Linked DNA regions of Canis lupus familiaris. The protein of the gene in region 6 binds, or shares a complex with, the protein of the main gene of each other region. Links are inferred from orthologs where the notes say so. Each region holds a gene or a part of one and is shown on either strand. Other genes may lie near its edges. The genes, in order: YEATS2, KANSL3, CXXC1, SGF29, DR1, WDR5 and KANSL2.

What was found.
Region 1: WDR5 (region 6) and YEATS2 share a complex: the UniProt entries of both Homo sapiens proteins name them as parts of the ADA2A-containing complex. The link is inferred for Canis lupus familiaris from reciprocal best matches to the Homo sapiens genes WDR5 and YEATS2.
Region 2: WDR5 (region 6) and KANSL3 share a complex: the UniProt entries of both Homo sapiens proteins name them as parts of the NSL complex. The link is inferred for Canis lupus familiaris from reciprocal best matches to the Homo sapiens genes WDR5 and KANSL3.
Region 3: WDR5 (region 6) and CXXC1 share a complex: the UniProt entries of both Homo sapiens proteins name them as parts of the SET1 complex. The link is inferred for Canis lupus familiaris from reciprocal best matches to the Homo sapiens genes WDR5 and CXXC1.
Region 4: WDR5 (region 6) and SGF29 share a complex: the UniProt entries of both Homo sapiens proteins name them as parts of the ADA2A-containing complex. The link is inferred for Canis lupus familiaris from reciprocal best matches to the Homo sapiens genes WDR5 and SGF29.
Region 5: WDR5 (region 6) and DR1 share a complex: the UniProt entries of both Homo sapiens proteins name them as parts of the ADA2A-containing complex. The link is inferred for Canis lupus familiaris from reciprocal best matches to the Homo sapiens genes WDR5 and DR1.
Region 7: WDR5 (region 6) and KANSL2 share a complex: the UniProt entries of both Homo sapiens proteins name them as parts of the NSL complex. The link is inferred for Canis lupus familiaris from reciprocal best matches to the Homo sapiens genes WDR5 and KANSL2.

The regions. Positions count from the first base shown.
Region 1 is NC_049255.1:16,824,854-16,828,822, reverse strand, and holds the start of YEATS2 (YEATS domain-containing protein 2), read right to left. Parts: upstream 2,801-3,969; 5' UTR 2,651-2,800; intron 1-2,650. UniProt on the Homo sapiens protein: Chromatin reader component of the ATAC complex, a complex with histone acetyltransferase activity on histones H3 and H4. YEATS2 specifically recognizes and binds histone H3 crotonylated at 'Lys-27' (H3K27cr).
Region 2 is NC_049231.1:46,404,935-46,408,434, reverse strand, and holds part of KANSL3 (KAT8 regulatory NSL complex subunit 3), read right to left. Parts: intron 2,323-3,500; coding exon 2,131-2,322; intron 1,539-2,130; coding exon 1,454-1,538; intron 1,024-1,453; coding exon 896-1,023; intron 14-895; coding exon 1-13. UniProt on the Homo sapiens protein: Non-catalytic component of the NSL histone acetyltransferase complex, a multiprotein complex that mediates histone H4 acetylation at 'Lys-5'- and 'Lys-8' (H4K5ac and H4K8ac) at transcription start sites and promotes transcription initiation.
Region 3 is NC_049228.1:78,682,965-78,687,077, reverse strand, and holds the start of CXXC1 (CXXC-type zinc finger protein 1), read right to left. Parts: upstream 2,801-4,113; 5' UTR 1,989-2,800; coding exon 1,986-1,988; intron 1,412-1,985; coding exon 1,293-1,411; intron 1,194-1,292; coding exon 1,093-1,193; intron 833-1,092; coding exon 597-832; intron 506-596; coding exon 311-505; intron 1-310. UniProt on the Homo sapiens protein: Transcriptional activator that exhibits a unique DNA binding specificity for CpG unmethylated motifs with a preference for CpGG.
Region 4 is NC_049227.1:18,372,763-18,376,890, forward strand, and holds the start of SGF29 (SAGA-associated factor 29), read right to left. Parts: upstream 2,801-4,128; 5' UTR 2,614-2,800; exon of another isoform or gene 2,549-2,613; intron 2,384-2,548; exon of another isoform or gene 2,330-2,383; intron 2,324-2,329; exon of another isoform or gene 2,189-2,323; intron 1-2,188. UniProt on the Homo sapiens protein: Chromatin reader component of some histone acetyltransferase (HAT) SAGA-type complexes like the TFTC-HAT, ATAC or STAGA complexes.
Region 5 is NC_049227.1:56,185,042-56,188,541, reverse strand, and holds part of DR1 (protein Dr1), read left to right. Parts: intron 1-2,027; coding exon 2,028-2,174; 3' UTR 2,175-2,183; exon of another isoform or gene 2,184-3,500. UniProt on the Homo sapiens protein: The association of the DR1/DRAP1 heterodimer with TBP results in a functional repression of both activated and basal transcription of class II genes.
Region 6 is NC_049230.1:50,406,207-50,410,221, forward strand, and holds the start of WDR5 (WD repeat-containing protein 5), read left to right. Parts: upstream 1-1,215; 5' UTR 1,216-1,277; intron 1,278-1,948; 5' UTR 1,949-2,036; intron 2,037-2,042; exon of another isoform or gene 2,043-2,189; intron 2,190-4,015.
Region 7 is NC_049248.1:40,821,200-40,825,445, forward strand, and holds the start of KANSL2 (KAT8 regulatory NSL complex subunit 2), read right to left. Parts: upstream 2,801-4,246; 5' UTR 2,791-2,800; coding exon 2,664-2,790; exon of another isoform or gene 2,459-2,663; intron 2,143-2,458; coding exon 1,884-2,142; intron 692-1,883; coding exon 513-691; intron 1-512. UniProt on the Homo sapiens protein: Non-catalytic component of the NSL histone acetyltransferase complex, a multiprotein complex that mediates histone H4 acetylation at 'Lys-5'- and 'Lys-8' (H4K5ac and H4K8ac) at transcription start sites and promotes transcription initiation.

The DNA.
Region 1 (3,969 bases), on a different chromosome or scaffold from region 6:
AACTACATGTTTTCAAGATCTAAAAGGACTCTTGATAATCAATTCCCAAAAGTGATAAACACAAAAAGATATACACAGGATACAGAAAATCACCAATGGCAAATATATGTTAAAAAATGTTCAAACAAACAAACAAAAAAATGTTCAAACACTCTAGTAATCAATGAATGAAAAATTAAACAAGACACCATTTTTCACCTACCAAATTTAGTTTGGGAGCAGATGGAAATAAGGCATCTCGAAAAAGGCCCAGGTTTTTCTAATCCACACTCATTATCTTCCCTTCCTCAAGCCCCAATCAATTAATTATTCCAATCCCGTTTCCATCTCCCACTTCTAGAACTCTGGATAATAATAACAATGACCAGAGGTGCCTGGCTGGTTCAGCTGGTGGCACATGAGACTCTTGATCTCCAGGTTTTAAGTTCAAGCCCCACGATGGGTGTAGAGATCACTAAAAATTTTTTAATCTTAAAAATAATAATACCAATAACAAAACCAACAACCTCCAAATCCAATTGAGCATCTCACTAAACATCTCAAAGTCAGGGATGGACATCCTCTATCCTCTCTGAACTTATTTTTCCTGGCTTCCATGACACCTTTTGGTCTTCTGCCTTTTTTCCCTACCTCATTGGCTGTTTCTTCCATTCTATGTTCAATCTTCTTCCCATACTGCAGCTCGAAGTATTAGCGATCAAGTGTCAATTTTCACTTCTCTATCTATATTCTTTCCCTTGGTGATCTCATGCAGTCCCATACCTTTCAATATCATCTATGTAATGAATTCCAAAGTTTTATCTAACAGCTCCTAGCTCTCTCTTCCATGAGCTCTAAACCTGCACATCCAATTTCCTCAATATACCAACTTCATAACTGATATACATCTCACATTTAATATACCCAAAACAGAACTCGTGATTTTTCCCCCTTCAAGTTTCTCTTCCATTCTTCTCCCTCTCAGTAAATGTCACTATCTACCCATAGCTGCTCAAAACAACTACCAAAAAAAAAAAAAGAGAGAGAATTCTTGGGGCATCTGATTAGCTCAGTAAGTAGAGGATGCAACTCTTGATCTCAGAGACCTGAGTTCAAGCCCCAGGATGGGAAGAGAGTTTAACTTAATTTTAAAAAATATATAAAAGGGTGCTTGGGTGACCGAGTATGTTAAACATTCGACTCTTGACAGTTCAAGTCATGATCTCAGGGCCAAAAGATAGAGCCCCACTTCAGCTCCGCGCTCAGCAGAGTGTCTACTGGAGATTCTCTCTCTCTCTCTCCTCCCCACCCCTGCCCCCTCCTCCTGCTCTCTAGGACTCAAGCAATCCTTCTCTCTCAAATAAACAAATCCTTAAAAACACATTAAAAAAAAAAAAAGTAAAGAAGTCTCCTATTTTCCCACTAACCCACTCACAAGTCTTGTTCATTCTACAACCAAAATAATGTTTAAATCTCTGTACTCTTCATCTCGCTGCCACGGACCTAGTTCAAGGTACTGCAAACAGCATCCTAACTGATCTCCCCGCTCCCATATTCACCCTCTTCCTCTACAGAGCAGTCAGATTATGCTACCTGCCTTCTTAAAACCTTCAAAGGATTCGTATGAAAACTAAATTCCTAACCAGGGCATTATCTGCCCCACTATCTTTGAAAGAATATACAGAACCAAAAATACGCAATATCTCGAGGCAGCAGAACTATGAATACTCTTCCTCATTTTGCTTGTCTATATTTCTTCATTTTTCTATGATGAATACTTGCTATTTGCTTATTAAGAATAAAGGATACTGCCGAATACTGTATATTACATCTCGTTTTAACACCATAAGGAGAAAAGAGAATGGAAAATTGTAAGTAAACTCTAATTGCAACTGTTACAAGCTCAGATGAAAATACCAGCAAACACATCCAGAACACTAAGAAAGAGGTGTCAGGGCCGTGGGGTTATTTGGTGATATTTTCCTCCTCTACTTTCTATTCTTTACCCTGATTACACTCACGATAGAAGACAAGGTTATGATATAAACCTCATTCATTGTCTTTTGCAATCCGGCCACAACCCACCAAACCAGCCTTTCCTCCAAGTCCTCACTTTCCCAAGCTTTCCGCTGTCACCCCGCACTGTGTCACGCCTCTGGTGCTTCTAACTGGAGCGTATGCCTGGAAAATCCTCCAACCTTTCTAAATCCCACTCATCCTTCGCGAGGGAGGACCGTAAGGATGGCGACAGGTTGGAAGCAGACTCCGCGGTGCCTGTCGGTAAACCCACAACTTGCCGGTGCTGGAGCCAAATCTCGTCTCCGTCTCCACCGCAGGCCACCGAGCCCAACAGGCCGAGAGCTCCAGCCCCGGGGGTCCCTGACCCCGCCGCCCTCGGAGAGCGCTGAGCCCCGAGGAAGGACCCCACACACGCAGCTGCAGGCTCCCGCTCCGGAGACGCCCCCGACCGGCACGCTCACCCGGCCCGCTCCCCGCGGTGCTCGGCGGCCCGCAGTCGCCGGCTCCCTCCCCCTCCCCCGCCCGCCGGGGCCGCGCGGCGGGCAGGGTGGGGGAGGGGAGCGCACGTGCCCGCGCCGCCCCCGCCCAGACAATGCCCGGGAGAGCGGAGCGCGCGCCCGGCCGGCCCGACCCCGCTCCCGCCAACACTCACCCTCTCCCGGGTCTCCGGCCGAAGCGCAGGGCCCGCCGGGCGCGGCGAGAGGGCACGAGGGAGGTGCGGGAGCGGGCGAAGCCCCGCGGAGCCGCCCCGCCACGAGGCCCCAGCGACCCCGGAGCCCGCGGAAGCACACGGCTCGGCGGAGCCCGCCCGTCCGTCCCTCTCGGCCTCGCACGTCAGCACCAGGGGCGGGGCGAGGCGCGCGTGCGCGGCGGCGGCGGCGGCGCGCGCGCGGCCCGGGGGCGGGGCTTGCAGGGATGTGGGCGGGGCCGGGGCTCCCGCGGGGGCTGGGCCCCGCGCAGGGCTGGAGCTGGGGTTGGCGGCGGCCGGACTCTGATGGGGACTGGTGCTGCCGCACTGCCTGGGGAGCCTGGATGCCCGTTCTGGCAGAGGCACCGTCATTTATCATATTCCTCCCTAGAAGATGGCGAGTTCCAGCCTCCGGTCTGACAGACCGATATTCATTCTCCCAGCGTAGATGAACCTCCCACAGGTCTAAAACAGTAGTAATGATTTGTGTGTGTTTATCATCTTGTGCCAAGCTTTGTGTTAGGTGCTAGGGATACGGATAACAATAGTTATCACTGACCTATTATGCAGATGCAGAAATTGAGGCTCGGAAAGGTTGGGACTTCACTAGTTTATACAACTAGTGAGTGACCATCCATCAAATCCTAAGTATCTTTTGAGCCCACCTTTCCCTTTCTTTCTTCCTGTAACATCCTGCCTGAGGCCTCATCATCTCTCTGCCCAAGACTGCTGCAGCTCTCCAGGGATCTGTCTCTGTCTTCCTTCAATCTGTTCAACTCACTGTGTAAAAATTTACCCCTGGAGCTGAGTAGTAGGTTTAGAGAGAGTTCACTTATAATTTTTTATACTATTTATGTCATCAATTTTTTGGATGTACTTAAATTTAATAAATTGTTCTAAAGAATTTAGCATGCATGCAAAAAGTATTTGTTGAAGGGTGCCTAGGTGGCTCAGTGGGTTGAGCATCTGCCCTAGGCTCAGGTCATGATCCCAGAGTCCTGGGATGGAGTCCACTCCCTGCTCAGCAGGAAACCTGCTTCTCCCTCTGCCTCCTTCTGCCTGCCACTCCCTGTGCTTATGCTCTCTCTCTGTCAAATAAAATCTTAAAAAAATAAAAAGAAAAAGTATTTGTTAGGGGCACCTGCCTAGCACAGCCGGTTGAGCCTCCAACTCTTGGTTTCTACCAAGGTCCTGATCTCAGGGTGGTGGGATAGAGACCCTCCTCAGGCTCTGCTCATCAGAGAGTCAGCTTGAGATTCTCTCTCTCTCCATCCCCCCCACCC
Region 2 (3,500 bases), on a different chromosome or scaffold from region 6:
GCTGATGCGGCCCCTAGGAGAGGATATAACACATGTCAGCACAGGCTCAATCTCTTATCCCAAGAGCAGCCATACTCAGCCACCCTCCACAGCCAACTAAAGTACCACTGCTCTTTTCCTGGGACATCCCCAGTGCTCTCGGAAAGATGCCAGGAAGGGCTCCCTGGGCATGCACACTGCATGCCCTCATGAAGAAAAGTATTCTGCTAGACACACTGCCTTGGGTTTGCTCCACATATCCCCACCTGCTCCAAACCACCTGTCTTATGTTTTAGACAGTTTTAGGAAAACCGAAGAGAGCTTGAACCCCACTTTTCAGAAATCTAAATTCCATCCTTTCCAGGGAAAAGGACAGCTTCTTAAGCCAAAAGAATTCCAAATATCTGATTTCATTTCACTACACAGTCGAGAGGCCACAAAGCAAAGAGGGAGGTCCTCCTAAAAGAGGACACCTCCAGAGCCTTGGCCCTTCTGGGCTCAGGTAATCAGCCATCATATGTAGGGTGAGGTGGTGAAAGCAAGGAGACAAGCAGAGGCAGAAAGGTGCCTCGGTTTATGTTTTATTAATGCTAGTACACCACAATCCCCAGTTTTCTGCAATCAGATATGTTTAAAAACACCACAATGAACACAATACACACATCTCCCACCAGCTATTTCTCTTCCTTATAGTACAAGAGATACTACCTGCAGACTGGGGTATATACTCGCTGTGAATATTAAAACCAAGAACTCCCCCACCTCAAAGTTAATTCCAGCTTCACATCAAGCCTCTATGAAAGCCTGCCAACTCAGGGGAACATTCTTTAGATTCAGCTGCTTTCCCAGGACCACCTCCAGCAGCAACCCAAAAGACACTTTGCTGGGAGGCTCAGAATGCTGAGCTACCAGATACCTGGGAGGGAGCTGCCAGGAGAGGTGGCCACCAGACGGCTCTGGAGTGTGTGCAAGGCACCAGGTGCTGTGCTGCTGGACACTGAGGAGGCTGGGCTGGCTGAGACTCCCCCTTCAGAAGCACTTGACCTGGAGACAAAAACAGGAGCTCTATTATCCAAAGGTTAGAGGGCAACAGACCCTGACAACATAGGAAGGGTTCAGAGTGGGGCCCAGCAACGCTTATAGTAATGAACACTAGAACCCAGAGTTTCCTTGTCCCACCTTCTGAATTCAGTCTCTAGTCCTTCTGAAAGTCAGGCCTTAAGTTAAAACTTCAAACCAAACCTTGAAGCAATAGCTATGGGATGCTCTGCAAACTTTAAATAAAAAAACAAACAAAACAAAACAAACCTCTGAGCTAACCCCCTAAAAAAGACAAAGATCCCACTAAGAAAGAAGTCATATTTCCAAACTGACAAAATCCAACCTCCACCATCTTTCCAAGCACTAAATCAACCAGGAAAAAGGTGAAGAGAAAGAAAGGAACAGAGCCAGAGAGGCCAAGAAATAGACTCACTTGGTGGTGGTGAGAAGCCCTGTGAGCTCTTTGGCCCCAGCTGAAGCCTGCCCCAGCGTCATGGTGATGGGCTTCCCTCCCACAGCTGCAAAACAGAAAACACCAAGGTCACCAGTCAGTCCTGGCTGGCCCCTACTATTCAGAGTTTCACAACCTAGGCTAAATGCAAAATATTATGGACAAAGATTGGTCAAAGAAAAATGAAGATCAAGTACAGTAGAATAGGGAGAGTTGAGAGTTCTATTTTTCTTCTATTTTTTAAACTTTCTGGTATATTTTATTTATTTACTTTAAGATTTTATTTTTAAATAATCTCTATACCCAACAGGGGCTCAAACTCACAACCCTGAGATTGGGAGTCACATGCCCTACCAACTGAGCCAGCCAGGCATCCTTGGAATATTTTCTTATCTTTAACTGAAACTGGTAAAGAACAAAATATAATGATACTTTGAATGACCCCTGAGCTCCCTCTGATCCTCGTTCTGCCTCCCCGATCCTAGCTTAGATCAGGTCACTGTCCATGTCTGTCCCACGTGCTACCGCATGTCCTCTCTGCTCCAGGCACATCTTACACTGAAGCAGAGGCTTAGTTGTACAGCAAGTAGTCACCAAGAGAGTAATGTTATGTGGTTTGAGACAGCTCAGTTTTTTTAAACAGGCCAAGAAAAACTCACCTTCTGGAACTCCTCCTTGGGAAGGAGTACAAGGCCCTCCAGCTGTGTCCCCTTGGGAGATAAGGGATACCTTAATCTTCGGTCGCTTGGAGGTCTTACTGCCAGGAAGAGGACTGGAGGGATGATGGCGCTTCAGTTGGACCCTAAGATCTTCTTTCTCTGCCTCTTCCGTTTGTTCTGATGAAATGGGAACTAAGAGATGGACCTGCGGTAAGGTCTTCCACAATCCAAAAAAGCCCGAGAGACACTGACAGCACCAGCATGGGCATGTCTGTGTGTCACACACAAAATCACACTTCAAAGGCAACTGCCAATGCTTCAATCCCACCTCACTCAGGTCCCACCTGTGGTACAAGGCCACCTTGCCCTTTCAGAGGATAGCCCCATCCCCATCCCTTATCCTGTTCTGGAGACAGAAGGTAGGGGGCTCTGAGTTGGTGGGAACAAAAAGAAAGGAGAAGATACCTTAACCCTGCCTACCAAAGGCCAAACAACAGAGGACTCACTACAAGGGACCTAAGCCATGCTTCCTGGACTCAATGTGGTAATTTTCCTGTTTCAGGCCCACCCCACATCACATAGCTGGGGTACAGGAAACATCCCACAAAGCAGTAGTAGAGGAGCACACTACCCAGTCCTCTCTACAGAGGAGATTTTCACAGGCTCTCAGAGTCCTACTCTGTCCTAAGAGCCCAAGGTTGAGTGTTTGGTTGCCAAATGAAGGCAACAAGAAGAATTATTGCCAGGAATTGACACTGGCTTTGAGTAGCTACTAGGTAAAGGAGCATCTTAGCCAAGACAACTTTACTGCTCCTGCCCAAAAGCAACAGGGCAACAATGGCCCATGTCACAAGTAGTCCGCAGGTCATTTGTACTAGTACAGAGAAAGGCCAACTGTTCACACATAGCCTTCCCCCTCCACAGAATCAAACATACTCATCTTGCACATGACCAAGCCTCTCGGAATCTGAAGTTATCCTTCAGGCTTCCTTAGAGATTCCCTTCTCTTTAAAACCAGAAGCCCAGGGATCCCTGGGTGGCGCAGCGGTTTGGCGCCTGCCTTTGGCCCAGGGCGCGATCCTGGAGACCCGGGATCGAATCCCACATCGGGCTCCCGGTGCATGGAGCCTGCTTCTCTCTCTACCTATGTCTCTGCCTCTCTCTCTTTCTCTGTGACTATCATAAATAAATAAAAAAAAATTAAAAAATTAAAAAATAAAAATAAAACCAGAAGCCCACCATAGGCCCTCTTTTTAGCATAGGCAATCAGGGGTAGGGTGGGGAGGAAAACAATAGTCCTATGAGGATGGCAGGCAGGGATGGGGCTCCTGGCCTGGGCCACAGAGAGCTACTCCAGGCCACAGGGTATA
Region 3 (4,113 bases), on a different chromosome or scaffold from region 6:
CCTAGTACCCCCGCTTCACATCACCAGGACATGCTCAACCCTGCTCCACCTGCCCTGACGTGCCTGACCGCTGAAAATGGCCGGGGGGGGGGGGGGGGGGTCTGCCCTGCCCACCTGGGGTCGGGGATGCCCCTGCTAGCCCCACACACCTGGTCACGCCCTGTTCACCTACACAGGCCAGGCTCCTTCCCACCTGTCTGTGTGTAGCAAGGCCCCAGCTCACCCGCCCAGCCTGCCCCCTCCTGGCCTCCACGAGCCTTTCCTGGACACACTGACACCCCCAGCCCTGCCCAGCTCTACCCATGCTCACCCGGGCCCGCAGCTGGCACTGACGCAGCCGGCACTTCTGCCGGATCTTGTTGGGGCCCCCAAACTTCTTCATGTCCCGACAAAAGTCACAGTGGCCACAGTCTTCGGTGCGCCGGCAGGCCTCACACTCGCCACACATGCGGGCTGACCGTTTGATCTGCTGCTGCTGCTGCTGCTGCTGCTGCTGCTGGTGATGCTGAGGGGAGAGGCCCAGTACAAAAATCAGGAACGTGTACGGGGCCTGCGGGAGGCTCAGCTTACCTATCCCAGCCCCAGCAGCCACTCACCTGGCTGGGTGTGGCCACCAAGGGCTGTGGAGAGGATTTGTGGGGCGAAGCAGAGCCCCGAGCAAGCATCGCCCCAACCCCTGTCCCTGACCCCGCCCGACGCTGCAGGTCTGGATCCGGGGCAGGCCTCTTGCGCCCTCCACCCTCATCCCGGGGCTCACTGCCGTCTCGCTCATTGCTGTCCCGCTCCCGTGACTTCTTGTGCCGATAACGGATTTCCAGCTTGGGGTCTTTCTCTGTGGGGAAGACAGTGGGGCCAGGGTGGGTGGACCCTGAGGGATTCGGAGGGTTCCTCTTCATCTTGGTCCCCCCCACCTTCTCCCCGTCACTCCTCCGGGGCAGGGCTACCCCGCTGGGGGACGCTCTAGCCAAGCGCCCGTTGGAGTCTCCGCTGCAGCTCACCACAAACCGAGTCCCTCGGCCCGGGACCCACCCTCCTTGAAGGCTTCTCCCTGGAGGCAGGTGGGTGTGCCCCCCGTCCAGGCCGCCCCCTCACCTCGGCACTCCCGACAGTACCACTCCCGGATGGCCTTGGCCATCTTCTCAGTGATCCGGATGCAGTCCCCATGGAACCACTCATTGCAGTTGTCACACCCGCTGCAGAGGATGGGGTGAGTGGTGCAGATGTGAGGGGCCGCACCCATCAGCCTCACCCAACCTCGCCGGCGTCAGCCCGCCCGCCTCTCCCCGGCTCACATCATGAAGCAGTTGATGTCTGGTTTGCGGCAGATGCAGTAGATGGGCGCGTTCTCGCCGTTCTCCGACTTGCTGTCCTCCCCAGCGTCTGGAGGCTCTGGGTCGGAGCCGTCCCCCTCCTGCGGGACGGTGCCTTAGAGCAGCCCCACCACGGCCTCCACAGACCGCGACCGTCTGCCCACGCTTCCCACCGCGGCTCCTCGCGACCCTCCCGGCCCGGCCCACGCCGGCACCCCGACCTCCCGCCCCGCCCCGCTCACGGTCACGGTCGCGGTCACGGTCACTAGCGCCCGGGCAGCCCCGCCCCCTCGCGCCTCCCCGCCGGCCCGACGCCGACTGCCCCGCTCGCTACGGGCCGCCGGGCAGGCTCAGCCCAGACGCCGGGTCCCGCCGCCCCGCAGTCCCCGAGCGGGCCCCCGACGAGCTGCCGAAAGGCGTCCCCACTAACTTCCATCACGGAGCCGCGCAGGGGCCCGTCACAAAACTCCCAGGTGGCTCACACGTCGGAACAAGCTCGGAACCCCGGACCCCGACATTCCACCCGCAGCCCCCTCTGAGGCTCCCCACAGGCCCCCGCCCGAGCGCCCGCGGACGCCCCTGACGGTTCACCACAGACCCCCCGAGTCTGCCCACGGACCCCCCGCCGCCGACCCGCCGACCCCTACCGCCGACCCTCCCCGGCCCCGTACTTACCATCTCTCCGCTCTCGGCGCACCCCTCTGCGACCCCCGCCAGCGACCCGCGAACCCGCACAGACCTCTCGGCGGCGTCCGCGGCCGTTGTAAAGGCGCCCACAACTACTTCCGCTTTGGTCGCGCCTCCCGGGCACCGTACTCTTATTGCGCAGGACTAATGCGTCGGCTCCGCACCAAACAAGTCGATCCGCCGCCTAGAGCCGCCACGGTCTCTCAGGCGCCACCATCTTGACGACCAAGACCGTACGGCGGTCAGGGCCGTAAACTAGTAGGAAACATGGCCGCACCTATGTGGCCGCTTTCGCGAGGGCACCGCCACCTTGTCGGCCGACTCCGTACGGTGGCCGCTCGTACGGACTCAACGTTACAGGAAATATGGCGGCGCCTGTGCGCGGCTTCCACGCAGATGCCGTCATCTTGGAAACTGATTCCGTAAGATGGCCGAGTCCGTACGTTCACGGGCAATGCATGGCAGCGTCCTACCCGCGGTCTCCAGGAGGGCGCCGCCATTTTGGCATCGACTCCGTACGATGGCGGCTTGCCCTGCAGAGAAGTTCAAAGGAAAAGCGGCTGCTCCCGAAACACCACGTGCCTCGAGTTACACTCCGTCTTCCATTCACTCACGTTTCCCTCCCACGTGTGTTAATGGGGCGCCAGCGGACTGTGCCCATGTTCCCCCGTTCTGTGTCTGACGTCATCCTCACCACCCTTTCGCGCCCCGGGTCCTCCTCGAAGGTCCTCAGCCCAGCCCGGCGCCCTGCAGCCTCGGCCCTTGCGGGAGCGCGGTCACCCTCCGAACGGAAGGATGCAGGTGAAGGGCCCGACCCTGGTGACAAGGGGCCGAGCCACAGCAGACCCCGGAACCCGAGACACCGGCTACACCGCGTCTTCCCCTGACCCCGCCACCGCCGGGATGTGGATTCGCCGGGATCCCCGTGACGTCCACTCTGGCTCTCTTCCATCAGACATACTCAATTCTCTCCTATGAAGTTAGTTCTTACAATTTTTTAATTAGACTCCGTACATTTAAAAAAAAAAAAAAAACCGGACAGGTCGGAGCTCTGGACACGTCCTTAAGGCCAGGCTGTAACTCAGGCAACCTGAGCGGTCGGGCGGGTTTTAACGGGTCAGCGCCCCCGCCCCAACCCCCAGCAGATGCGCGAGCCCGGGTCACAGGGAATGTCCGCGTTCAGGGTCACGACTCTATTCAGGTTGGGGGGGCGGGGGGCCTGGGGAAAATGAAACTTGTCACCGGGTGCTGACAGTCGTTCTGGATTTCTTGGCTCTGGACATCATAGTAACGTACTTGCTCCTGATGATTCTCCTGAGGGCGGTGTCGGGTCTGATTTTTGTTTTTGTTTTCACCTTTCCTAGACATTTTTACTCGTGGCCCCTCCACACCGTCACAGACAACCGAAGTCACAGGAGCTGCATCATGGACTGTGTGACCCTCTCTCCTTAAAACGCGTCTTCTTCTTCTTCTTTTTTTTTTTTAGAATTATTTATTTATTTATGATAGTCACAGAGAGAGAGAGAGAGGCAGAGACACAGGCAGAGGGAGAAGCAGGCTCCATGCACCGGGAGCCCGACGTGGGATTCGATCCCGGGTCTCCAGGATCGCGCCCTGGGCCAAAGGCAGGCGCCAAACCGCTGCGCCACCCAGGGATCCCCTAAAGCCCGTCTTTAATCCACAAAGTGGACCTTCAGATCCAGACTTGCCTCCTTTTTCTAGTTAATACTGAATTAATCTTAATTTGATTGTAACTTATTTTAATTAACATAATTCTTCGAATTTAGTTCATTTAATGTATTAAATTAACTTTAGTTAGTATAAATGAATATGCATGTGTTGGTAAGATACTCAGATAAATTTAACCAATAAATTTCAAATAATTCAATTTTAACTTAATTACAATTTGATGTATGAAAGTAAATTTAAGGGAATATAGTTCAAGTTTAACTTAAATTAATTACTCATTTAATTTAACATCACTGACTTGACTTACTAAATTTAATTTTATTTAAAATATTAGTTCAGGGGAATCCCTGGGTGGCTCAGAAGTTTAGCGCCTGCCTTTGGCCCAGGGCACGATCCTGGAGTCCCAGGATCGAGTCCCACATCGGGT
Region 4 (4,128 bases), on a different chromosome or scaffold from region 6:
CACTTCAAGAGTTGTACTTGCCAACCTTCTCACACCACAGCACACACAGTACAAAATATTTCTGGTAACATTTGTGTGGCACACTCAGGTAAAAGGCAAAGCTGCTCACAGCTGGAAAAGAATGGCAGGGGGATCTGGCTGCCCCAGGCCCCACTCATCTGCCCTGATGCCAAGGGCAGTCAAAACTTTCAAAGCATGGTATACAAACTTCTGTTCTTGCATTGTCACACATACATTGAGAGACTGTTTCACTTACTTATCTCTCCTGCAGACCACGAGCTCTTAGAAGACTGACATGCAGTTGTATTCGTCTTTATATTCCCAGAAACTAGCCCAGGGCCTAGCACCTACTAAGTCTTCAGAATACATTACTGAACCAAACTGAATCCTGGAAATCTCTTAAAATAGTCTCTCAACAATTCTTAAGTTGGGCTATTCACTATCTTCCCTCCAACCCCAGGAAAAAAAAAATTGTCCCCTTTTTTTTTGGGGGGGGGCAGGTTAAAAAGTAAGCTCTATGCCCAATGTAGGGCCCAAACTTATGACTGCAAGATTAAGACCTGAGTTGAGATCAAAAGTCAGATGCTTAACCACCTGAGCCACCCAGGTACCCCAATTAGTTGATATTATAGATACTTCCCTGTATAAATGCACTCATGAATAGTTGTCAAATACCTACTCTATGCTAGGAATGAGAAATATACATCAGTGAATGAGACAAAGAGTCCCTGTCTTGCTTACAAAACTCACAGTCCAGAAAGGAACAGACATTAAACAAGTAGTTCCATATACTTATTTGTAGGTGAAGTAAATACCTTATAAAGGACATAGAAAACAGGATACATGGATAAATTTGAATAAACGATGACAGGTAATGTTGAAGAACGGAAAACACAAATTCTCAGGCAAAAATGACCAAGTGCCAAAGAGAATATCCACAGAACACTCAGTAGTGAAACTTCAAAGCCTTAAGGGCACATACACACTAATACACTGGAGAAGGAAAAGGGGGGGGGCAGGGCCAGGCTGCAAAAAAACACCAAGAATATATCAGTATTTGGCCTGAGTTGGCCTGAACAACTGGAAAAATGGGAAGACTGGGGAAAGTGGTGAAGGTATGTGAGGGGTAAAACTCAAAATTTCAGTTCTGGACATGTTTGAGATGCCGACTCGACACTTTGAGATGTCATTTGCAAGCTGAATATAAAAATCTGGTCTTGGAGGTAGAGCACTGGGTCGAAGATTGACATTTGAGAGCACAATAGATAGTATTTCTATTTAAGGCCTTGAAATAGGGACGCCTGGGTGGCTCAGCGGTTGACCGTCTGTCTTCGGCTCATGGCATGATCCCGGGATCCAGAACCGAGTCCTGCCTCCGGCTCCTTGCAGGAAGCCTACAAGACTCTGCCTGTCTCTACCTCTCTCTCTCTAGCACTCAAGAATAAATAAAGAAAATATTTTTAAAAAGAAAATAGTTTTGAAATGGATAGCTCCTAGGAAGTGGACACAAAGAAGAGCTTAGGATGAGGGCGTGGGCGGGGGAGTATAACCATTAAAGATAGGGACGAGGAACAAGAAATCAGCAGAGGAGAAACCAGAGAGCTGAAGCTAAAGAAGAGAATGTTTAAGAGGCCTGGGTGGCTCAGTGTCTGCCTTCGGCTCAGGTCGTGATCCCAGAGTCCTGCGATCCAGTCCCACATCAGGCTTCCCGCAGGGAGGGAGCCTGCTTCTCCCTCTGCCTAGGTCTCTGCCTCTCTCTGTGTTTCTCATGAATACATAAAATATTAAAAAAAAAAAAAAAAATTGGGCAGCCCGGGTGGCTCAGCGGTTTAGCGCCGCCTTCAGCCCAGGGCGTGATCCTGGAGTCCGGGGATCGAGTCCCACATCGGGCTCCCTGCGTGGAGCCTGCTTCTCCCTATGCCTGTGTCTCTGCCTCTCTCTCTCTCGTCTCTGTGTATTCTCATGAATAAATAAATAAAACCTTTAAAAAAAATTGAAGAGAATGTCCTACAAATCAAACGAAGAAGTGCTTCAAGAAAGGGCAGTGATGAAGCGCATCAGCCATTGCTACAGAGGTGAGAACGAACTGAACACTAGCTTTGGCGACCGAGAGGTCACTGGCGGTTTCCACCAAGTGCTATTTTAGTGGAGCGCTGGGGGCCTAGACTAGAGCGGGTTCGAAAGAGACCTGGAGATGAGGCGCCAGCTAAGGCTGAAGCCTCACGCTGCAAACGGGCGCCGAGAGATGAGGAGGCAACTGGAAATCTCCGGAGGGCGAATGAAGTTGTCTCGTTAGAAGGGGCTCAACCCCGCTGCCGTCTTCTCGCACCTGAGCTGAAGACCCCGCCTCCGCCGCCTCTGCGGCTTCTGCGCCCCGCACGGCGAACGCCCGCTTCCCCTCCACGCCGCGCCGGCCAGCGCATGCGCAGAGCCCAAAGACCGCCGCCGCAGCCCCACCCCTCCCCGAGCCCCGCCTCTCCCCGCCCAGGGCGCGTGCGCACCGCCCCCCGAGAGTTGCCCCAGCGAGGCCCGGGAATGGGGACGTACCGAGGGCGACCCCGGCCCTCCGCTCCCGCCATTCCCCGGGGGCCCCAGACTGCGACCCATCCCCACCTGCCAAGCCACGGAATAGGCACGTCGAGCTGGAAATTACGACGGCAGCCGCGGGCGCGTCCCTCGAATGTTTTTCAAAGTCTGAGTACCGTAACGCGCTTGCGTTCGAAGATTCGCGGCACGTCGAGAACTACACACGCTTTTTCCCTTTTACGAGCTAGTCGCAGCGCGAACCTTTCCGCGCATGCGCCGTCCTTCCTTTGTGACGTGTCGCGCTGCTCCTTGGGAAATGTAGTTTTTATTTTATCAGTCTATGCCCGATGCCCTAAGGGAACTTAAGAAACCAGAGTCCTTGTGTGTTTTTAGTATCCTCTCTCATTCCCCAAAGCCTATAAGATAATTTAAAAAAATTTTTAAACCTCAAGCTGCCCCAAAAGATGTAGTTTATTATTTTAGTTTTTTTTATTTTATTTTTTAGCTCTATGGTTTTTTTAGTTTTTTTTTTTAGTTGTTTTTTTTTTAATTGAAGTTCAATTTGCCAACATATAGCATAACACCCAGTGCTCATCCCGCCAAGTGCCCCCCTCAGTGCCCATCACCCAATCACCCCAACCCCCCGCCCACTTCCCCTTCCACTACCCCTTGTTCATTTCTCAGAGTTAGGTGTATGTTTAGTTTTTTAAAAATAAAGCAGATCGGATCCCTGGGAGGCGCAGCGGTTTGGCACCTGCCTTTGGCCCGGGGCGCGATCCTGGAGACCCGGGATTGAGTCCCACGTCGGGCTCCCTGCATGGAGCCTGCTTCTCCCTCTGTCTGTGTCTCTCTCTGTGTGACTGTCATGAATAAATAAATAAAATCTTAAAAAAAAAAAAAAAACAGATCTGTAGACCCAAAAATTGCACTTTGAGGGAATCTTCTCAGGACCGTATTAAGGACGTGAGTAAACATTAAACTACATTAGTTTACATTCTAGTAAATGTCTTATAATTTCTTACATAACCCCTATCAAAGTTTAAAATTACATTTTATATCGTTTATTTTTTAAAAAAGATTTTATTTATTTATTCATGACAGCAGACACACAGAGAGGCAGAGACACAGGCAGAGGGAGAAGCAGGCTCCATGCAGGGAGCCCGACATGGGACTCGATTCGGGGTCTCCAGGGTCACATCCCAGGCCAAATGCGGCGCTAAACTGCTAGGCCACTGGGACTGCCCTATATCGTTTATTTGATTCACTTGTCAGCTCAATAAGATTCGAATCATCTGTTTTGTTCACCTGTTTTCTCATTACCCAGCACATTCCTAGTACCTATGAGAGCAGATAATGGGCCCTCAACATTTTTGTATGCACTTAGAAGAATCTCAGACTTCAACACAAACTATTTCAGCCCCAAACTAACACATCAGTTTATTTTTCCCATCAAGGTTGTTTTTCTTTGTGTGGTCTCTTTGTCAATGAATGGCATGACCATCTATCCCATCTCAGCTGTATATCCTGCATTTTATGAAGCTGATGTTGACAAGGATTTCACAAATTTTGCCTTTGTAGAGGTCTCGGGAGCTATTTCTCCTG
Region 5 (3,500 bases), on a different chromosome or scaffold from region 6:
TTCATAGATTTTCAGGATAATTTGAAGGTTTTCTAGGTAGTTTGGTGGAGACAGGTGATTTGGAGACCCTACTCTTCCGCCATCTTGCTCCTCCCCCCAGTATTTCAGTTTAATTTGAAGGAAGAGTGGAATTTCGATAGGTGAAAAATAGGAAATTTCAAATAGAATGAATATCAGCATAAGGTAGTGAAAATGGGGAGGGTATGGTGTATATGGGCAACATTTTATGTTCTAGATTTTTTTGGAGTACCAGGTACATATTACAAAAATTGATTTGGGAGATAGATTTGGGCAGGCAGTAATTTGGAGGACCTTGAACTCTAAGCTGAGAAATTGGACTTAATTGGTAACAGATGATTTTTTTAAAGTATAATGATGGTCTGATTAGAATTCTCCTCTAGAAATGTTTGGATAATAAATTCAAGACAGATTATTAAGAAAAATCAGGAATATACAGGGCAAAATCTTAATGTTAGAATTATGCTGAGTACTACCATTTCCCACAAAACATTCATTCAGAAAATACCAGAGCCTATGTGTTGGGAATGCAACAAAGAGTATGAAAATAGTCTTTATTCTCAAGGCTAGTGGAGAAAAAAGATACATGCTCAGATAATTAAAGAATAAAGTAGGTAGATATGAGAATGCATAGAGAATTATGGCATATGAAATAGAGTGTACAATATGACCTAGAAGGATCAAGAAAGACTAATTTCTGTTTTAAATGGTAACTCGGAATTGGCGGGTACGAGCCAGGCTTAAGTAACAATTCTGAGAAAAGGCAGAGAAGGAGAAACAGCATTGTTTTGGTAGAATCCAATATGATCTATTCAGGAACAGATTCATTCGTTCCCTGTTGGTGTGATTTTTCTAAAGCTAATAGATAAAATTAAATTGGGAAAGAGCTTTTAGCTGTTGCAACAGTGTGTGTAATGCCTATATGTGTATCTTAGTTTCTAAAATTCCTTATTTTATTAAGAATAAAGCTTTAAAATATAAAGCCTTATTTATTTGTTTATTTAAAGTAGGCTCTATGCCCAGTGTGAGGCTTGAACTCTTGACCCTGAGATCAAGAATTGCATGCTCTACTGACTGACCCAGCTAGGTGCCCCAGTTTCTAAAATTCTCTGATGGTTGTGGAGAGGATATATCAGAGGAATGGATCTTAACTATCTCACTTAAATTCAGTTCTGGATAAGTGCCTTTTCTCTAGTATGTATATGGGAAGGGTATATATGTGTGTACACACGTGTATGTATTTATGGGGCAGGGGTTCAGAGGAGAAATGTGTATTTAGGGTAGGGAACTGTAAGAGAAACTCAAACTATCGGAGCACCTGGGTGGCTCAGTCAGTTAAGCATTCAGCTCTTGATTTTGGCTCAGGTCATGATTTCAGGATTGTGGGTTAGAGCCCTGCACTGGGCTCCGTGCTGGGGCAGAATTTGCTTGTCCCTCTCCCTCTGCTTTTCCCCCCTGCTTGAGTGTGTGTGTGCTTTCTCTCTTAAACAAACAAATAAATAAGTAAAATCTTAAAAAAAGAAACTCACACATCAAGGTAGCTATTGCATTCATATTTATTAGTACTTAAGAGTTAGAGGTACTGTACTAGACAACTTTTAAACCACAGAAATAATTTTTAGATTGAAAAATGTTTACGTGTTAATTTTAAGTTGAGAGGACAAAAGAATCAAAACAAAAGGAATGAGAAGCAGGAAAGGAACCAAAAATCTTTCTGCCAGCTCTTTCAACTTCAGTTGAACCAAAGGTCATAAAATTATGTGGCATAAAGGGTACTGCCTGTAAGAGAACCAAGTTTTGGAAACTGTCCTCAGCTGACAGAGAGGCAATGGTCTAACTATATTTTCTTAAAGAGTTCATATTCTCCAGATGTGTAACAGTTATATAGTGGTTGGAAAATATCCAAATTTGATAACTAAGTATGTAATTGGCTTAATCTATATTTAACCAAAGTGAGTATGTTGTGAATTTAAAAAAAAAAACTTTGTTTTTATGTTTTTGGTGTTTAGGCTAGACAGCAGCAAGCAGAATTGGCCCAGCAGGAATGGCTTCAAATGCAGCAAGCTGCTCAACAAGCACAGCTTGCTGCTGCCACAGCCAGTGCATCTAACCAGGCAGGATCTTCTCAAGATGAAGAAGATGATGATGATATCTGAAATTTACCAGCTGAGTTTCTATTTCCTCTATAAATGTTTTTCCCTGCACAAGAAAACAGTGAAAGAAATGCTTATCTGTAATTTTGTATGCATCTTGGTGGACTTGCCATTGGTATTCTAGGGATGTCTGCTGTTAAGTTTCATCTATTGTGTGCTATTCATGTAAAAACTGTCTCTTTGAACTATTGAAAATTTAAGGTTCAGTATAATATCAATTTTGAATTTTTAATGGTGTTTATGAAATTTTAGATAGCAGTGAGTCCTTTATTTGATCAATAAACAGTGTTACAGAAAACGTCAAGTTTATAAAATACAGTAAAATTTATACAGAAACTCTAAATCTGCATTTGCATTTCCTCTGCCCTTTTAACTAAACTAAAAATTGGGAATTTTAAATTATTGGGGGGAGGGTGTTGTGTGATGCAGTAGATGTTAGATCAGGTTGGTGAAAAAACAAAGAGTTCAGTTTTGTAGTATCTGAATTTTTTGTCTTTTAAAATGGGTATATATATATATATATATATAGGCAATAAATATATATGCTCAGATAAATATACTTGTTTAAAAAAATCTCAAAACATTCAAAAACTAGCAAGGAGTATGTTCAATAGTTGTATAAATTCAGTGGGTTATGTTTTTGATTTTGTTTTTGTTTTATGTAGAAGTGAAAACTACAGTTTTATTATGGCATAATTCATCTTGAGCTACACTATTACATTTCAAAGACTACCCAATTTTGAGGACTGTCATGATTCTTACTATTTCACTCCAATAATTGTTAATAGTATTACTTGCTCAGTCCATCCATGTTTATTGGACCTTGTGAAACAATTGCTTAGGTTCCATTGGTTTAAAGGAGATTCATGAATATTCAGACCTTTGCTGGGGGAAAGAAATGAAAGTTAATAAGCATGCTTACTGTAAAAGAGGGATTTTTTTGTAATTTAACTTGTAGTTATAGTTTACTTATTGTTTGTTTTTAGCATTACTTTTACATTTTCTTGACTAGATGGCCTAGAGTGTCCAGTGCTTCCTTTTGAAATGGCATCATTGTCTCCATCATAATTGAGTGATAGCTTTAAAAATGATTGGTTTTATTTTAAGAAAGTGTGTCGTAACTGATCAGCCGTATATGAAACGTAAATAGTTTCAATCTACTCATTAAAAGGGAGAAGCTTTACTTTGGTTCTAATAAATAAAGTATGGTAGTGATTTTTACAGGAATCCAATGTGTTGAAGAAATGACATATTGTTTGTATTTTGGAAACAGAATGGAAAAGCCACTAAAGATAGTATAAAGTAGTCTAAATTCCTATGTCAGTTGCC
Region 6 (4,015 bases):
GTCCTTCTTCATCTTGTGCTGGTTTGTTAACTTCTGTAACAAAGGTGGCCCAAGGTGACTAGGCTCCCAGGAACAGAGATCCACACAGCGCCACGCCAGGGCCAGAGACTTGGCGCCACACGATGCTCCTTGGGAGTGGCCTGCAGACCAGCAGCCTGTCTCAGCTTGTGTCCTGGACAACCACACACCTTGTTCCCTGGGCATTTCCTTTTTACATGATGTCCTCTTGTTAGCACAGGTTCCTGCCACATATTTGGTGTTTCCGTCCTTAATTGGGAAATAAGACTGCAGGTGATGCTGCCTGGGATGGGGGTTGGGGCCTGGGAGCTGAAGACTGCCTCCAGGACTGTAAGGCCCGCGTGTCGTTGTCGTGTCCCCCCCCCCCCCCCCAACGGGATGAGAACACACAGGACTTGGGCCAGAAGGCGGGCTGCAGGCTCTCCGTTTGCACGAGCCCTCTCCTCTGGGGTTCCCCTTCCTCGTGTGTACCCGGCCATGACAAACTGTCCTGGAGCCCACCTTGCAGACAGCAGAGCGGCCTGCGCCTGGTGACTGCCGGTAGGACGGCCCTGCACTGTCCCTGGCCGGGGCTCTCTGCCGGTGGCGGTGGCGGTGGCCGGCAGACCGCGCAGGAGAGCTGGGGGTGGGGGGGGGGGGGCGAAGCGCAGGGGAGCCGGCACCCTCAACCTTGCTGGCTCCGGTCCTGGCTTCCGGGGCGGGCATGCGCGGAGACACCAGCGCCGCCGGCTGCGGTGCACACGGGCTGCGGCGGTCAGCTGCGCGCCACGGCGGAGAGGGGCAGCGATCCCCGAGGGAGGGTCTCCCACGAACCCTCGGGCCCTGCCTCCCCTGCACGCCCGGGGGCGAGCCCTGCTGCTTTCTGGAGGCGCCGCTGCAGGCCGCGTTCAGGAGGTGAACTTTCGAGGGGCACACTGGCACTTTCCTGGAGGTATCATCATACTTCCGTTTTTAGAAAGTGCACAAGAAGGACCTGCACCAGCCAACTTTGAGGTTACCCCTTTGCACGCCGTCCCTTTAAGGCGTTGGGCCTGCCCCAGGCCTTGTGCCCCTCGCCGCTCCCCGTAGTGCCCCTCCGAGAGGCCGGCTTTGTGCACTCGCCCCGCCCCGCCGCCGCCCCGCCCCCCGCGCACGCGCACGCGCACTCCCCCCCCCCCCCCCCCCCCCCGCCGCGCCGCCTCGTCCAGCTCGGCCCGGCTCCCGCCCAGGCGGCGGCGACGCGACGCCCCGAGCGCCCGCCCCGCCGCCGCGGCCGGCAGGTAAGCGGGGCCCGCTGGGCCAGAGACCGCACACGGGGTGCGGGCGGGGGCCGACGCCGGCTGCCCCCCGGCCCGCCCCGCCGCCGCACGTGTTCCGGCGGGCCGGGCCCAGGTCCCGGGTCCCGGGTCCCGGGTCCCAGGTCCCAGGTCCCGGCCCAGCCCCGCCGGGGCCCTCCCGGTGCCGCGCCCGCGCCCCCACCGCCTCCCTTCCGGTGCCCACCCCGCGGCCCTCGCCCTCGCCCGCGCCCGGGCCCCGCGGCGACCCCTCCGCCTCCTCGCGGCCAGCCCCTCCCGAGCGTCCCCCGCGACCGCGCTGCGGCCCCCCAGCGGCCCGGTGACAGCGCGCGGGCCGGGCCGGGGACCTGCTGCTGCAGCCGGCGCGCGTCTCCCCGAGCTCTCCGCCGCTGCTCCGAAGAAAGAGCCCAGACCCGGCGGCGGGGTCCTGGCCGGGCGCGCGGACCGCGGCGCCCCTCTCTGCGGAAACGCCCCCCGCCGCGCCCTGCTGCTGACCCCCAGCCCGGGCGGCCGGGCCCAGGTGCGGCTCGCCCTCAGCAGCCGGGGACCCCGCTCCGCAGCGCCCCGCGCCGCCTGAGTGTGCTGTGCCACAGCCATTTTGGGTGACGGCAGAGACACTCCCTGTGGCCTTCTCATGCCGCTTTCTGCCCACCCAGGTCCCTTACCCGGCGCTTCGGCACTGGCAGCTGCTGTGCCACACGCTGCCTCCGAGGTCGGCCCGGCCCCCTCCCAGAAGGCAGATAGGTAAGCTGGGCTGGAAGCTCCGCGCGGAACAAACAGGCGGGGAGAGCGGCACACCCCGCCCCCTTGGTCCGGCCACCTGCGGGTCACCGGGTTACCTGCCTGTGGGCCAGTCTCGGGTGGAGTCCGGGGATCTGCATTTTACAAGCAGTGCAGGTGAGCACCCCGGTTTGGGATGGTCAGGCTCACCTGGGTGAAAGGCCTGTGAGGGCCCAGAGGGGTCAGGTGGCGTGTGCTCTGGAGGCCGGTCCCTAAGCAGCTGCCCCGTTGCTTTCCCTGAGCATCGCGGACAATGCAAGGCTTTCCCTCCTCTTGAATGGAAACTGGGGGCATGGAGTCAAGAAATTGCACATTAATGTTTTGCTAGCCCAAGGGATTGGCAGATTGGATTTGATGGAGCTGGGAGGGGTTCGCACACCTCTTCTGTGAGATTAGCTGTGGTATTCTCTAGTCCTCACCTTGAGGGCAGGTAGTTTGCTGGGAGTCACACTCCACCTCCCGGCGGGTCTCAATTTTTATGTTAAAAGGAGCAGCTCTGGGTTCCCTGAGCTGCCCAGGTCACCCCCAGAGGAAGTCTCTTCTGTTCCCACTGCTGTTTCTCCCCCACACCTCTCCTAGCTCTTGCTGATACCTTCTTCAGATACTAGGTTTTGTGAGTCAGTCTTTCCAGCTGTCTTCCATAGCTTCCCCCCGCCCCCCACTTGTCCATCCACCTAGAGCAAGGCAGCACTCGGATTAATTGGCATGACCGGGTTGCACTAAATTTACTCACAAACCAGCTAGTATTTGCTGAGCACCAGCTTTGTGCCAGCATTTTTGTATCTGGGCGTGATTATGTGACCTGCTCCAGGACTTGGCCTTTGGGTGCAGCAGGATCCATCCTTGGGCATAAGCCCAAGTCCTTGCTATATACAGGTAGCCAGTGGGACCACATCTGTGCTCTGCACAAGTATGTTGCATTGTAATTTCCCTTTTGGATAAAGACTTTAAGACGTGGTCTTTTTTTTGATGGACTTCCATTTTGCCTTGGTGTGACAAGGAGTCGTGCAAGCTTTCAGTTTTAAGTGCCAAGCTAGAATTTTACACCGTGTACACCATTAGATTAACAGTGGTGCAAGCTTCCAGGAATTGGATGACCAGTGATGTCTGCAAGAACACCATGGTGGTTCCCCCATTTCAGAGTCACCAGGTGTGCTTCTAGGAGACGCATCTAGGATCTGGAATCTGTTCCTGGGCTAGAGCAAATGAGTCGCTTGCTGTACAGCTTGGGTAGCTCCCATTGTCACGCTGAAACCTAATTGAGCTGCGGTCTTTCCCCTCCTGCAGCGAGAGCTTGCTTGCAGCCGATCTGTGTACACTTCAGGCTTCAGCAGCAGACAGGGCTGGCTCTGGTTTGCACTTCTCAGCTGTGTCTTGTAGTCGCCTCACGAGGGACAGAGCGCCTTTTGAGCTGCCAGGGTTCTGGAGGCGGCCTTGTGTCTACACCAGACGACAGGGAAGCCCCCTGGGAGATGCAGACCGCTGTGGGGCGGGGGGTGGGGGGTGGGGGGGTGTCTGCTCTTGTATATTTTCAAACGTGGTAGTTAAGCACTGTTGCATCACTTGTGAGGATTTGGACGAGTTCCCAAATTTCTACACCCTGAAGCTCAGTCTCCTGTAATTTGGGTTGGTTTAGGGTTGTTTTTTTTTTTTTTGTTACGTTTCAAGGGCTCTTTGAAGAAAATTGCATTTTGTTTGCCTGGCCTGAGCTGCATTCCTACCAGGAGGATAACAGTAGGGAGCACCCTTGAAGGTGGGGCCTTGGATTACATGGACAAAAGGGGCCTGGGCAGCCTGTCTTAGCATCTGAAGAGTATTTAGTGCAGACTTAGCTCCACAGATAGGTTCCTCATTTTGGAATAGTGTGTCTGCTCAGGGCCCAGCAAGGTGGGTGAAGGTTTTTCACCCTTTTTGCTGGGAATTAATTTTTAAAATATGGCTTG
Region 7 (4,246 bases), on a different chromosome or scaffold from region 6:
GCAAGGAAGGGAGAGCAGCCATTAAGACTTCCCACCTCCGTAACTCCACCACACAAAACTAGATTACTTAACACATCAACCCAAACCTTAACGTTTAAGAAAACAAACAAAAAAAGCCCCAACAACTTAGTACAAAGGCACTGACAAATAAAATTGGCTTGAAAAAATACAACCCAGGTAAGATTACTTAAAACATAAATAAGGTAACCTTGCCCTCAAAAGGGCAGAAAGGTCAACTCAAAATTATTCTTGCTTCCTGAAATTACCTTGCCTCACAAAGACAAGCATAAACAACAATGAAGGAAATCATCAAAAACTCAGAAAAATAAACCCAAGCACACACTACTTCAAACTGAAAAGAACTGGTGAACACAGCAATCCTGGAATTCTCACCAAACTGTCAATGAATTACATTATTATCACATGCCATGTATATTCACAAGGCACTGTGCTACCCAAAACAAGTTCTTTAACTTACTTTTTCCTTTTTCATTCTAGGAGAAGATCCTTACCCAGAATTCGGCTGGCTTCACTGCGGCTACTTTCTGGAGTCTGAGACCCCAGCTCTGTCTTAGCGTAAGAACTCAGCTGGCACAAGAGTGTTTCACCCATAGGCCCTGAATTGGTCTTCTTCATTTGAGCATGAAGTGCCAGGGCATTCCTACGGGCATGTTCAGCACAGAAAGACACCCTAAGGAGACAAAAATATTAACATTTATACTCCAGTCCCTTCTTCTTCAAAGAGTTCAACCATTTTCTTAGTCACTAATCTTTAGATCATTCTTAGGAAATTAAAATGAGGGCAGCCCAGGTGGCTCAGTGGTTTAGCGCCTGCCTTCAGCCCAGGGCCTGATCCTGAAGTCCCAGGATTGAGTCCCACATCAGGCTCCCTCCATGGGGCCTGCTTCTCCCTCTGCCGGTGTCTCTGCCTCTCTCTCTCTCATGAATAAAGAAAATCTTTTAAAAAAAAATTAAAATGAGCATTACCTTCATTTATAAATTAAAAAGGCCAGTGAGGCAGAGCAATTTAACCGGCCCAAGGTCAGCTCATTATATATTACCAAGCAGAAATGCAGGCAGCATAACCTGGTGCTTCATTCATCAAACCAAACATTTCAACTATAAAAAATGCTGACATCATCTTAGAACAAATCAAAGAGATCCACTTTCATCTCTCAAAACTGGTTCTGGCAACTCTGTATTTTACTTCAGCTATCAATCCACTGTGGGTAATAAGACGTGGGGCACAATTTCAAAACCAAACTACACATGCAGAGTTAACTAGCCAAATTCTGTTTCTGCGTGAATACTTTTGCTTCTATGATGAAAGCCACAAAGCCTCTCCCAGAAGAATACACGTATACACAGCTTAAGGAGGCTCAGGGTCATGACCCAAAGAGCCAGGGGACCCCGGGGGAGGGGGGGGTGGGTGGGTAAGAATAATCTAGAATATCCCCTTATTTTACAGACAAAAGAAAAGGTCTAAAAGGTATGAAGTCAGTGGCCCTCTTTCCAGTTTTCAACATTAAAACTCCAGCTATGGGGATCCCTGGGTGGTGCAGCGGTTTAGCGCCTGCCTTTGGCCCAGGGCGCGATCCTGGAGACCCGGGATCGAATCCCACGTCGGGCTCCCGGTGCATGGAGTCTGCTTCTCCCTCTGCCTATGTCTCTGCCTCTCTCTCTCTCTCTGTGACTATCATAAATAAATAAAATTAAAAAAAAAGTTAAAAAATAAAAAATAAAAAAAAAATAAAACTCCAGCTATTCACAACCTCACGATATACCTCATCCCACCCACCCCCCTCCTCCCTTTAAAACTCAAAGTACACACGACATAAATGATCTGTACATATATATATATATATATATATATAAATATATACCCATCTTTCTTCTCGGGCTTTGGAGCAGCACTGGGACATCTTTTTCCATTCTTCGTCGATATATAACTGCACTGCTTGAAGGGTGCATTCTTGTCTTCTAGGATATGCTTAATGCAAAACTCCTGCCCTTCCAGACGAGGCTGCGAGCATGGGCGATGAGTGAATGAACAAGACAGGGGCTCCTGAGACCTGGGCACTGGGGTGATCCTCCCCCGATTGGTCGGCAAGACGTGGATCCGAATCCTATTCATACCAAAACCTGCAGGGTCACACAAAAGATCAGAAAGCCCTTAGCCCTCCCGAAAATTCCTGCTGCACAACATCCGGGCTGCCCGCGCGGGTAGTTTCCAAAGGGCTGGCCCAAGTCTCCCTCCGTAGGTCCCCGCCCCCCGCCCCCCTCCTCGCAGCCATTAGTCTCACGGCAACTTCTCCCCCACCCGGACCACCCGCGCGTCGCGCGCCTCCCAGTCTCGCACGGCCGCCGCACGAGGAGGGAGCGCCGGCCACGCCGCAGCACCGCGCCCGGCCTCCGCCTCCCCGCACGCCGCCTTTGTCCCGGCCGCCTCAGAGCTCACGGCTGGGCCCTGCCCGTCCCCGGCCGCCCGTGCAAGCGCCATTTTGTCCTCTGGCTCCAGGCACGGGAGAATCTGGCTTCTGGGAGCCTATAGGAAGAGAGCAACCTCGACGCTGGCTGAAACAAAGCAGCAGCTCGGAGACAGCACGAGGGGCGAAGCGGCTGCCTAACTGCAGAAGCGAGAGGAAGCCCCGCCGCCATCTTACCTCTGCCGCCGCGCCGCGCCGCGCCGCTCAGCCCTCTGGCCGCGCCAGCCGCTTCTAACTCGGCCCCGCTCCTTTCCAGGCTCCCAACCCCTGATTGGTTACGGTGCCCACGGCTGTGCGTCACCATTGGTCGAGGCCCGCTACCTATCACGCCTGAGGGGGCGGGGCGCTAGAGACAGCGCGGCCGGGGTGGCTAAAACGAACTGTCCGTCAGCCAGTGACTCCGCCCCCCCGGTGCGCGCACGCGCGCACCGCGGGACTCGCCAGCGCGGCGTTGCTGGTTTTCGGGCTGCGCTTGGCCGCTGCGTGGTCCGAGGCGGCTACTCCCCCGACCACCCCGGCCCCGCGGCTGCAAAAACTCAGACATACAGAGGCCGGAAGGTCACTGTACAGTTGATTCCTACTGTTTATACAGGAAAAGGCTGTAATTTTCTTTAGTGAGCAGGTCATTTATTGAAACGAGTATTTACGGAGTCTGGGAAGTTTCATATTTAAACACTTGATTTTCAGAGCAAACCCTGAGAGGCCGAGGTTGTTATCTCCATCTTACGGATAAGATAACCGAGGAACAGAATGGGCCTCTCTATCTATCTAGTAAATGGAAAAGGGAGGTGAATTTGAACCCAGCTCTCATTCCTTATCCCTTAATTGCCTCTCATGTAGCATAGAGCATTGGATTGAGAATAAGGAAATAGGAGTTCTGGTTTTGACCCTACTTCTCTAAAATTCTCTACAATTTCATGCTAACTAATGCAGGTATAGAGAAACAGCAGACAATCCCAATCTTATCATACTTTAACGATTTTTCAGCAAAAGTATCTTTTTTTTCATCTCCACCCCACCTGTTGTAGAAAGGAACCAACAATTTCTCCCTGTAACCCTTCTGGACCTTTTTTCTGCATCCCAGCCTTACAACGTTTATCTAGTGTCAGTTTCATTTAAGAGGTTTCTCCAGCAACAATGAGCTGATGAGTATGATTCACACTGCAAGTGTGCATAGAGAATCTACAATGCTGGACAACTACACTTTAGGCACACGAAGTGATTAAAACAAAGGAGGGGGGTAGAGGGGGAGGTAGAAGAGATGTCATTTCCAGATTAGGGTGTCCCCAGAAGGCCCTTTTCTGAACATTCATTCATTCATTCAACAAATACTTGAGAACCTAAGTGCTAGGCACTAGGGATACAGAGAGAACAAGAGAGATGACCCTGTTCTTTTGAGTAAACATTCTAGAGCAGTTTCAGATTGTGGATGCAAATACAAACATAGTATCCACAGAAAAGATGATATATACACATAAGCAAACGCTCCAACCCTCAGAAGGGATACAAAGAAGACATTTGTTATAAACTCTCTACAACTCAAAACTAGCTGGAAAATATGGGAATCAGAATCTGCAACCAGGGGTGCCTGGCTGGCTCAATTGCTAGAGCATGCAACTCTTGATCTTGGTGGCGTGAACTGGAGCCCCATATTGAGTGCAGAGATTACTTAAAAATAAAACCTTAAAAAAAAAAAAAAGGAGGGGTGCCTGGATGGTACAGTTGGTTAACTGTCTGTTTTTGTCTCAGGTCATGATCCC